4 linked regions of the Saccharomyces cerevisiae S288C genome follow. The gene in region 1 interacts genetically with each later gene. Each region holds a gene or a part of one and is shown on either strand. Other genes may lie near its edges. The genes, in order: ECM15, YFL064C, SFM1 and DDR48.

Region 1 (2,669 bases):
TTAGAAAGGAGACCTATTCCTCTTATATTTACAAAGTTTTGAAGCAAACTCACCCAGACACTGGTATTTCCCAGAAGTCTATGTCTATTTTGAACTCTTTCGTTAACGATATCTTTGAAAGAATTGCTACTGAAGCTTCTAAATTGGCCGCTTATAACAAGAAATCCACTATTTCTGCTAGAGAAATCCAAACAGCCGTTAGATTGATCTTACCTGGTGAATTGGCTAAACATGCCGTCTCCGAAGGTACTAGGGCTGTTACCAAATACTCCTCCTCTACTCAAGCCTAAGTCACTCACTAGGTATTGTGATTTAGTCATGTTTTCTTTTTATTAGTGGCATTTTTTATATATTGTAACATTAGGGTTCTGTTACTTGTCCAGATATGATTGGAAGGGTCTAGTCTATCAGCCTCCGAAGGGAGTTGTATAAATGTATATATATAACTTTATAAACAAAAAAAATTGGGAAAGATATTTTGCAAACAGTTATTATTAAATTGTTTCTTAAACTCTCCTTAAAGATATACCCTATTTAGGTTCACTACACGAGCATTCATTGAGAAATTTTTTTTAAAACAACATCGATCTTATCTTGAGCAGTTTGGTGCTTATCAGTTCTAGTCCCAACACGAATATCAGTGTGTACTCTAACATATCCTTTCTCATGACCGTATTCATGGATTTCGCCAATCAAACCCATCACATCATCCCAAGGCCCTTCAATTGTTGTTCCTGCACTGTGTAAAGTGCTCTTTAATGGGCTTTCTCTGATTTTTTTTTCAATGAGTGCAACAAAATCAGAAATACTAGCAGAGTCGGTGCCAATAGGGACCATACACACGTCCGCTAAACAAAAGATCTTGGGCATTTTCTAAACTTGTAGTTTATGTGCTTTATAGTTAATGATCACGACGGCAATGACAAAAACTGAATATCTTGATCTCTCCTTTTGACGATGTCAGTGAATCCCGGTTAATGATATTCTGTTTTTCACGGGGTGGAAAAGAGGGGAGCTTGAATCATACTAAAAAAGGAATGTCAAAGAGCTATATAATTCGAATAAAAAGTAAAAGAAACGAAAGGTTTTATTAAAGGGTTTGGAGCTGTTTTCGGACTGAAAGCCAGTAACAAGCTTGTGTAGGAGTTTGTCTGAAAACCATCTTCATTTCAAATAAGAGAGCGAGTAATTTTTAAATAATTTCTTTTCTGAACTACTTAAATCGCTATGTACCTTGCGAAAATTATTCTTTAATAGTTTAACTAAAAGTAAAAAGTTAGAAATCATAAATAAAAAATCAAAGAGACAAATCTCGTTGCAAAAGCTTGAAAAATAGTGCTTTACCAACAGGTTGGCAAACCAGAATGCTAACAAAACTTAAAATCCCATTTCCCAAGAGGATCAATCAATCATATTTACCTTGATAGTATAGGATACAAGTGTCTGTGCAGGCCTCCGATAACATGTAAAGTAATAAAAGTAGGAGTACTTGCTTTCAGCAGAAAATGAAAAAAAGAACGTTCAAACAGACTGAAAATATAGCTATTCAACTGGCACCTACTAATATCAATAATAATAAATTAATCTTGAGCAAATTGATCCTACATAAATCATGTGACTTATTTATTTAATTATTATTAAGTAAAAAAGATTTTCTATTTAAATTTATTAATTAATTTTTTTTCTTAAATAATTATTTTATGTTTTTGTTTTCCGAAAAAGAAAAATATTTCAACAAGAAGTATCAATATATTTCTTGCAAAAAATTGTTCACCGAGAATTGACAAAAAAACCTTACGTCGGTGACGACGATATACAGATCCTATATTCTTCATGTATGTAATAGATTCCCATACCTTCTTCGCATTTAAGACACTAATAGAAATGAAAGCTTTCTATTAGTCATTCTTCCTATGCACTAGACCACGCAAAGGTGAACCGGCTTGGTACGAGAATTCTATCACACGGTAATGATAGTGTTCCCGATGTCAAGCAGTCTTATACAGTACTACCCAAGAGCTTAAGAATAAGCAAGAAGATCTGGCAAGCTACAAGGTACTCATAACGATCTTCAAAGCGTAAGTTATGATCTTATGAAAATCAGACTTTTTTGTCTCAACAAACTCCTAGTTTGAAGATGTTACTGAAATGCCCTTCAAACACTTTTACTTGAAAATCATCGATTACTATTCTAACCTTCACAAATGAGCCTTTACACAACTTGATTAATAATAATATTTGACCTTACTCTAAATCGTCTCAAATATTACTGAGGCACAATCTCATGGTTATTGATAGAAAGAAGAATATAACATATATCTTATTTACATATGTTCGTCAATATTATAGGTAATACAATTTTTTCTCAGAGGGTTTCAAACTATTGAAAAATGGCAATGGTGGACTACAAGCAGCGAGAGCCCTTCTTGCATGATTATTCATATATTTCAATCCGAGCAAATAACTTGTGTTCACCCAACCAAAGCCTTCTGTAGCGACGCCCTTAAAATCAGCACCTTGATTACCATATTCCGCATCAACGCGATGCGGATCAGTCCCTCTTGTCACATCATATTTTTCTACCACCATTCCGTTATAATCAACAAATGATTTTGTAATCATGTACAGCCACCTATAAGCCAATCTTGTAGCTACTTGTTGATAACCAT
Region 2 (2,801 bases), on another chromosome or scaffold:
GAACATTTAAGTTAATGACCTCATGGTGGTATTGATACGCAATTGAGTGTGTTTATGTATTATTGTTGAAGGATAGAATATTTTTATGTTTAGGTGATTTTAGTGGTGATTTTTTTGTAATATTGGCATAAGTGTATATAAATTGAGTGGTTAGTATACGGTGAAAAAGAGGTATAACGTATGTATTAAGGGCATTTATACAATATTTGGGGCCGCGGAATAAGATATAAATATTAAAATGTGGATAATAGTGGGAGTTATGCGTAAATGGCACAGGGTATAGACCGCTGAGGCAAGTGCCGTGCATAATGATGTGGGTGCATTTGTACTCATGAAGTGAGAGATGGGCCATGGAGTGGAATGTGAAAGTAGGGTAAGTTGAGATAGTATATACTATTGTAGCATCCGTGTGCGTATGCCGTATCAGTATACAAGTGATGGTGAGTATGACAGATGGGGCATGGTAGGGTATTGGCAGGGTAAGTATGTGTGCATTGTTTACGATCATTTGTTAACGTTTCAATATGGAGGGTAGAACAACAGTACAGTGAGTAGGACATGGTGGATGGTAGGGTAATGGCAGGGTAAGTGGCAGTGAGGTTGGATATGGGTAATTGGAGGGTAACTGTTATGGTGGATTTGTGGGTTGGTGGTGGGGAGGCAGGGTAACGAGTGGGGAGGCAGGGTAATGGAGGGTAAGTTGAGAGACAGGATGGAAGGGTTGGATTAGGGTAGGGTTGAGGTAGTATTAGGGTGTGGGTGTGGTGTGTGGGTGTGGGTGTGGTGGGTGTGGTGTGGGTGTGGTGTGGTGTGGGTGTGGTGTGTGGGTGTGGTGTGGGTGTGGTGTGTGGGTGTGGGTGTGTGGGTGTGGTGTGTGTGGGTGTGTGGGTATATATATGTCACTGTATTGCATGCTGGATGGTGTTAGACAAGGCCGTAGGGACATATAGCATCTAGGAAGTAACCTTGTACGAAAATAGGCAATATTTCCTGTTTAGGCGATTGGGACGCAGATTTTAGTCCAACGATCTAGCGTCAAGGAATTTTTTTATAGTGGGACATTGCACCAAGGAAGTAACTTGATACGTCGTGGGTGAATGGGTCTGTTTTCTTATTCGGCGGGGTAATACATTTTTGGGGGAAGTTTGTCTGTCTGACGCGCCATATGTAGGTACGCCAAAAAGGGCTCCTCTACTTCGAAGCGCGAGGTCGTATACCTAATAAGGAAATGTAATTTATAACTTTCTATTATATTGGTCTTTTCGAGAGCGGAAGAAGTTGTAGGCTAAGCGCAGGCTAAGCGTAGGTCCATGTTTGAAGTATCCAAGAGAATATCCACGAATCCTGGTTCTCCTCGACTAAGCAGATAGTTAAGATACTGTGCACCATGGAAATTGAAAACGAAAGTGCGTACCGACTACTTTATTTTTGCAGGCCGGAAATCAAGCGATGAATGAGACATCCTTCTGTTTTCTATGTTGTGCTTGAAGGGGACAGACAGTCGCTTATCTTAGTGAGATTTCTTATTAACTGAATTTTCTTTGCTGCTGCTGGAGATTTGCACCTGCATAGCGCAGATTCTGCATCTTCTCAATAGCTTAATTATTACATTCTTAGATGATGATAAGACGGAAACTGGACAATCTTTTGTTTATATTGATGGATTTCTTGTCAAAAAGCATAACAATCAACATACTATTGTTAATTTCGAAACTTACAAAAATAAAATGAAAGTTTCCGATAGGCGTAAGTTTGAAAAAGCAAACTTTGACGAGTTTGAGTCGGCTCTAAATAACAAAAACGACTTGGTACATTGTCCCTCAATAACTTTATTTGAATCGATCCCCACGGAAGTGCGGTCATTCTACGAAGACGAAAAGTCTGGCCTAATCAAAGTGGTAAAATTCAGAACTGGTGCAATGAATAGGAAAAGGTCTTTTGAAAAAATTGTCATTTCCGTCATGGTCGGGAAAAATGTACAAAAGTTCCTGACATTTGTTGAAGACGAACCAGATTTCCAGGGCGGACCAATCCCTTCAAAGTATCTTATTCCCAAGAAAATCAACTTGATGGTCTACACGTTGTTTCAAGTGCATACTTTGAAATTCAATAGAAAGGATTACGATACCCTTTCTCTTTTTTACCTCAACAGAGGATACTATAATGAGTTGAGTTTTCCGTGTCCTGGAACGTTGTCACGAAATAGCGAGTGCCAGGCCGAACGACAGCTCTACGATGCGTACTTTCACTGACTTTGTTTCTGGCGCACCTATTGTAAGGAGTCTTCAGAAAAGCACCATAAGGAAATATGGGTACAATTTGGCACCCCACATGTTTTTGTTACTACACGTAGATGAGCTATCGATTTTTTCTGCATACCAAGCAAGTTTACCTGGCGAAAAGAAAGTCGACACAGAGCGGCTGAAGCGTGATCTATGCCCACGTAAACCCATTGAGATAAAGTACTTTTCACAGATATGTAACGATATGATGAACAAAAAGGACCGATTGGGTGATGTTTTGCGTGTGTGCTGCCCAAGTTGAGAAGAGATACTAACAAAATGACCGCGGCTCTCAAAAATAATTGACGAGCTTACGGTGATACGCTTACCGTTATCCAGAGCTACAGCGCAACGTATACGTCGACGATACAACAAGAACGGTTCATCGGAGCCTCGACTAAAGACGCTTGACGGACTCACTTCCGAGCGCTGGATTCAATGGTTAGGCCTTGAAAGCGACTACCATTGTTCATTCTCTAGTACTCGGAATGCGGAAGACGTAGTGGCAGGTGAGGCGGC
Region 3 (2,783 bases), on another chromosome or scaffold:
AGTTCCAAATCGAGGAGCATTGAAACAAAGTTAGAAAAGAAAGTTTCAAACCTCTTCAATTTATCGGACTTTTTACAGTTGTTCAATGGTAATGCTAGTAAAGATCAAGATGATGCACAGAGCTTGGAAAAGCAAATGGAAACAGACTATAACAATGCAGATAACAGTCAAGGCGCTAATGCTAGTAGCAAAATAGAAGATGGCAAAAATTCGGGCGCAAGCGATAGACAAATTAGAAGTAACAGAAGAGATGTGGATAACTTGATACTATGCGTTCACGGTATAGGTCAGACTTTGGGTAAGAAGTACGAATACGTAAATTTCGCACACACGGTAAATCTACTTAGGTCTAATATGAAAAAAATCTACAATAATTCTGAGAAACTACAATCATTAAACACAGCACCTGATTATAAAAGCAACTGTAACGTTCAAGTGCTACCCATCACCTGGAGGCACTCGATAAGTTTCCAAACGGATGCTAAGGAGGAAAATATAGAAAATCCTGACCTACCGACTTTGTCACAAGTCACAGTAAATGGAGTGTTACCCTTGAGGAAGCTACTGGCTGACGGTCTACTAGATATTTTGTTGTATGTCGAACCATACTACCAAGATATGATTCTACAACAAGTAACCTCTCAATTGAACAAAACATATCGGATTTTTAAAGAATTTAATCCAGAGTTTGATGGGAAAGTCCATTTAGTGGGCCATTCGTTGGGTAGTATGATATTATTTGATATTCTATCCAAACAAAAAAAATATGAATTAGAATTTCAAGTAGACAACCTGTTCTTTATTGGCTCACCAATTGGATTGTTAAAGTTAATTCAAAGAACAAAAATTGGTGACCGTCCCGAATTTCCCAATGACTTGGAGAGAAAATTAACCGTACAGAGACCGCAATGTAAGGACATTTATAATGTTTACCACGTCTGTGATCCCATTTCTTATAGGATGGAACCTCTTGTTAGTAAAGAAATGGCTCATTACGAACAAACTTATTTACCACATTGTAGTGAAGCTTATGGACTAACTTCTAAAGTTTTGGAATTTGGCGAAAACATATGGAAAGATTTGCCAGGTACTGATGAAAATAATTTGCAGTCCAAAAAAACTTCTCCAGAAAAAAAAGAGGTCAAGTTATCAGAAAATCTTACGAGAATGCTTACAGGTTTGAATTACACCGGACGTCTAGATTATGCTATGTCTCCAAGTCTGCTAGAAGTGGATTTTATATCAGCTATAAAATCACATGTTTCTTATTTCGAAGAACCGGATATTGCAGCGTTTATCCTAAAAGAAATTTTAAGTAAACATGAAAATGCATCAGAAATATATGTAAAAAGAAAGACTGGTTGATCAGTAAACGCAAGGCACAAGTTTTTTTTAACTTTTTTCTTTACTGTCTATTATAGTTCCACTGTGTAAGGTTGTATTCTTTCCGTACTTCAACTTGCGGGTAACAGGATTGACACCTTTTCAATTTTTTCCGTTATTTTGGATTAGAAATTTTCGGTAAGCTCATCGAGTATTGTAAAAGAGCAATGCCCTTTGCTTATTAGATGTTGAGGGGCATATCTATTGTTAATATAGATTGATACAGCTGTGGAGATTATTTCTAGATATACGATGAAGTACATTATTGAGCATATGGAGGAAGGGTTTAGTGAATGGGTCATTTTAGAGTATAGCCAAATCCTGAGAGAAGTAGGAGCTGAAAACTTGATTTTATCATCGTTACCAGAGAGTACCACGGAAAAGGACATCCCTCAAAGGCTACTAAAACTTGGTTTAAGATGGACTACAAAGGATTTGAAGGGCATTAACGAAGATTTCAAGGATTTGGAACTGTTAAAAGATGGCAGAGTCTGTCTATTGGACCCTAGGGCTACAATCGATTTACAGCCGGAGGATGCTACGAAATTCGACTATTTCGTATTTGGTGGCATATTGGGTGATCATCCTCCAAGAGATCGTACCAAAGAACTAAAGACTGCCTATCCGAATCTTTTAATTAGCAGAAGACTAGGTGATAAACAAATGACTACGGATACTGCCATAAGAACAACACAGTTGATTATCAAAGACAGGATTGCATTTGAAGACATCAAGTTCATTGACTACCCTGAATTTAGGTTCAATAAAAATGAGGCCACGGAAATGCCATTTAGATACGTTTTAGATAAAGAAGGTAAACCTATTTTGCCTGAAGGGATGTTGGATTTGATCAAGAAGGATTCTGCTCAAAGTTTGGACGATCTGTTGATGTAGATGAGAACAGTCCTTTAAGTAACATTCTATGGTTGTAATAAGTGATGATGCTTCCTTGTCAAAGAGTTAGTTGAAAAGTTTAGGGTCGTAGCATTAATTATATTGTATATAGTTCAAAAACGACATTCAATGAAAAAATCAAGTTTATTAGCCAATGAATATTTCGTATTTTGCGTTAGTAGCGCTACCAAGACTTCTGAAAAGTGCATGCAAGAAAAATAAAAACAAGGAACCGTTTACTTTTATGATATCATCATTGTCAGGCCAAATAGGATAAAATTGATTGGTTGTATTATGCTTTTTAATTGAAAAAAAAAGTAGAAACTTTTATTATTTTATTTAAATTAATTTCTTTACATTACTTGCATCTAAAACCAAACGAGCTGGTGACTTCAAGCACTGCACTAGTTGCCATGGCTTTGCTAATTCAGACGACCCCCTTGAGGTGAAAAAATAGTCTCAGTAATGAAACAATCATAGGCAATTAGTTCGATTTTTTATAATTA
Region 4 (3,747 bases), on another chromosome or scaffold:
CAGGGGCGACCGCCCCCGGCTAGAATTATCTATATAACGGTAAAAAGAATAAAACTCTATTCTAGTTCTCGCCATTTACCTTGACTTTAATGAACCAATAAAAGAAATTTCTACAACCAAGACATCCAGAATGAATACAGACCAACAAAAAGTGAGCGAAATATTTCAGAGCTCAAAGGAAAAATTGCAGGGCGATGCAAAGGTAGTGAGTGACGCTTTTAAGAAAATGGCTAGTCAAGACAAGGACGGCAAGACTACCGATGCTGATGAAAGTGAAAAACACAACTATCAAGAGCAATACAACAAGCTCAAAGGGGCGGGGCATAAGAAGGAGTAGCTCTGTTGTCCTACTATCGATTATTTGTGCCAGCGGGCTCTGTTAGGTTGAGGGTGGAAAGTGTAGAAAAAGCAGACCTATTTGCCAGCGGATACATAGCCACAGCTCATACATAAAATTTTCATACTTAAGTCTAAACACAATAATATATTTTTTTTATCGAAGACATCCAAAAACTTAGTAATCGTCGTCACCACCGTATTGATTACGACCGCCTCTATTAGATGAACCATAAGAGTCATCATTGTTGGATGAACCGTAGTTGGAAGACCCATAGGAGTTCTTGTTTCTATTAGAGGAACCGTAAGAGTCGTCATTGTTGGAACCGTAAGAGTCATTGTTGTTGCTGGAGCCGTATGAATCATCGTTGTTGGAACCATAAGAACTCTTCTTTTTGTTAGAAGAACCGTAGGAATCATCGTTGTTAGAACCATACGAATCGTTGTTGCTGGAACCATAAGAACTCTTCTTCTTGTTGGAAGAACCATATGAATCATCATTGTTAGAGCCATAAGAATCGTCATTGTTGGAACCATAAGAACTCTTCTTCTTGTTGGAAGAACCGTAAGAGTCGTCGTTATTGGAAGATCCGTAAGAATCATCGTTGCTAGAAGAACCGTAAGAGCTCTTATTCTTGTTTGACGAACCGTAAGAGTCGTCATTGTTGGAACCGTAAGAGTCATTGTTGTTGCTGGAGCCGTACGAATCGTCATTGTTAGAACCATAAGAGCTCTTCTTCTTGTTGGAAGAACCGTAGGAATCATCGTTGTTAGAGCCATATGAATCATTGTTGTTAGAACCATATGAATCATCGTTGTTAGAACCATACGAATCGTTGTTGCTGGAACCATAAGAACTCTTCTTCTTGTTGGAAGAACCATATGAATCATCATTGTTAGAGCCATAAGAATCGTCATTGTTGGAACCGTAAGAGCTCTTATTCTTGTTTGACGAACCGTAAGAGTCGTCATTGTTGGAACCGTAAGAGTCATTGTTGTTGGAACCGTAAGAGTCATTGTTGTTGGAACCGTAAGAGTCATTGTTGTTGCTGGAGCCGTACGAATCGTCATTGTTAGAACCATAAGAGCTCTTCTTCTTGTTGGAAGAACCGTAGGAATCATCGTTGTTAGAGCCATATGAATCATTGTTGTTGGAGCCATATGAATCATTGTTGTTAGAGCCATATGAATCATTGTTGTTAGAACCATATGAATCGTTGTTATTAGAACCATATGAGTCGTTGTTGTTGGAGTCGTTGTCATTTATAGAGGTATTAGAAAATTGTTGACGAACCTTGGACTCCATCTTATCAAATCTGTCCTCTCCGATTTTGCTTTTGAATTGATTGACTCTATCTTCGCCGATCATATTCTCAGCTTTGGTAACATAATCGCCTTGATTGTTATTGCCAGAATCATTGTTGTTATTATTGCTGTTAGCAAATTGCTTCACTTTATCAAATAAACCCATTGCTGTTTTTTTCGTTCACTTATAATACCGTATATATCAGTCTATTAAAGCCCTACTCTACAAAAGAAAAAATTAATTGTAAGACATTTTCGAGAAATTCTTTTTTTATTACATAAAAATTAATGCCTTCTTATATAATGGAAAGGGGGGCGTTGTTAAATGAAATCTCAACGTGGTTGTAAGAGTTCTTGTACGACATTCTTTTCCTTTTTCCCTTTTTCGTCGGTGCCAAGCTTGTATGGCCACAGCTAAGGGGCGATTTGTCATCCTCGAACCTTCGGAGTGGTTTTTTCACCTTCCCGAAGGTTTTTAAAATCAACCACGCCAAAACTGTGGTGGGCCAGGCCAGCACCGGAAACCGCTTTGTACGCATTGATTTACGTCATATGCACCCTTCTCAGAATAAGAGATGTGTATGATTCGTACTTTTCAATCTCAAAAAGAAAACAGCACTAACGATTTTTGTAGATTTACAGAATGTATTTATGTTACACTTGTTTTTTCCTTCCTTCCTATGATTGTAAACGATTATTTACTATCGTACGTGCCTATATTCCAGCAAGGCTCTCTTGCAACCAGCCAATGGTTCTTTTCTTTACTTCGCCATCCTCATCATCTTTATATAGCCTTTTGTTCTCTAAGGTTTCTATCATCTCTTGTGCCGTTTTACCTCTCTCCATACCGTTCAGAATGAACTTGTACAATCTTTTTCGCCTTGAAAAGGTCTTCTTATTTTTATTGAGCCTCCACTTGTTACCATACTTGGCCTCAAGATGCTTGATCGATGGCTTTCCTCTTATTCCAGTATCATACTCTTCCCATATAGTCTTTACGTCAGTGGGAGCCTTCAATATCCTATAATGTAAATCAGAGTTTATGTTGGGCTTAGTAGCCGACTCGCCGTGAAGCTTTCTTCTACCGTTTAAAGAGTTACTTTTTTTATGATGCAAGCTCCTCCTCCGCTTGTTAATCGAAGCGTTCTTCATATCTGTTTCGATTTCATCATCTACTTCATCTTCCTCAGCAGTGCTGTCTTCTTCATTATCCCTTCCATCACCTTCGTCATCACCGTCATCATCATCATCCTCTTGATAGCCATCATCGTCGACATTACTTTTCACTGTCATTGGTTTTGGGTACGACGGTAGAGTAGAAGCTCTGTTTCTATTTACAATATTCGTGTTCACCCCTGACTTACCACTCGGTAACAATTCAGATGTCGTGCTATCCTGATTGATCAATTGGGAAAATGATAGAGGCTGCTGGGTATTATTTATAATAGGGGGTATAACATTTTGATTTGGGGGAAAAGAAGCGTTATCTAGGGCTAAGCTGGGCAAACTTAAAGCTGTTGTCGTGCCAAAGTTATTCAATGAATTTAAGTCATGAAATGAATTTGAAGCACTGGTGACGCCTGAATGAATGGAAGAATTGGTATAATTCATGCTAGTTGTAGAATTATGAGAATTCGTTAATGGAGATAGGGCTGATATGGGCTTTTGTGCAGCACTAGCATGGTCATTTGTGCTCGCATTGTTGTTACTTTGCGTATTTCTTCTGCGCCGTTTAATCCCATTTGGGTTCAACTTGAATGGCTTGTCAGTTGAAGCGTTCGGGAAACTAATAGGCGAGCGATTTACCTGCTGATGTGTATTTGTGTTATGAATTAAAACCTGCGACTGGTTCTGATTGGCTTGTGTGTTTATAACAGGACCAAGTTGTCGGTTAGGGAGCGATTGGTTTATATTTTGGGAAACATTATTTCGATTATGCTGCTGATCAGGTAAGATAGTATTTAGTGCGTTAGAAAATTGGTTGTTTAGCTGTGCAGTATTCGTATTCACATCTATGGTTCCATTCGTAGTCCGATGCTGGTTGATACCAGAATGGGTGTTGGAATCTCCTGTACATAAATCAGCAGTATGCTGTCTACCAGAGCC

The links.
Region 2: mutations in ECM15 (region 1) and YFL064C together harm fitness more than expected from each alone (negative genetic interaction), as found in Saccharomyces cerevisiae (one large-scale study listed by BioGRID).
Region 3: mutations in ECM15 (region 1) and SFM1 together harm fitness more than expected from each alone (negative genetic interaction), as found in Saccharomyces cerevisiae (one large-scale study listed by BioGRID).
Region 4: mutations in ECM15 (region 1) and DDR48 together harm fitness more than expected from each alone (negative genetic interaction), as found in Saccharomyces cerevisiae (one large-scale study listed by BioGRID).

The regions. Positions count from the first base shown.
Region 1 is NC_001134.8:236,598-239,266, forward strand, and holds ECM15 (Ecm15p), read right to left. Parts: upstream 871-2,669; coding exon 556-870; downstream 1-555. Other genes in the region: HTB2 (histone H2B), read left to right, coding at 1-290; alpha,alpha-trehalase NTH2, read right to left, coding at 2,344-2,669.
Region 2 is NC_001138.5:2,773-5,573, reverse strand, and holds YFL064C (uncharacterized protein), read left to right. Parts: upstream 1-1,727; coding exon 1,728-2,252; downstream 2,253-2,801. Other genes in the region: YFL065C (uncharacterized protein), read left to right, coding at 2,236-2,544.
Region 3 is NC_001147.6:372,292-375,074, reverse strand, and holds SFM1 (protein-arginine N-methyltransferase SFM1), read left to right. Parts: upstream 1-1,635; coding exon 1,636-2,277; downstream 2,278-2,783. Other genes in the region: DDL1 (putative carboxylic ester hydrolase), read left to right, coding at 1-1,365. UniProt on the Saccharomyces cerevisiae protein: S-adenosyl-L-methionine-dependent protein-arginine N-methyltransferase that monomethylates ribosomal protein S3 (RPS3) at 'Arg-146'.
Region 4 is NC_001145.3:606,749-610,495, reverse strand, and holds DDR48 (DNA damage-responsive protein 48), read right to left. Parts: upstream 1,808-3,747; coding exon 515-1,807; downstream 1-514. Other genes in the region: PAI3 (Pai3p), read left to right, coding at 131-337; HOT1 (Hot1p), read right to left, coding at 2,356-3,747. UniProt on the Saccharomyces cerevisiae protein: DNA damage-responsive protein that may be required for maintaining the rate of spontaneous mutagenesis. Shows low ATP and GTP hydrolysis activity.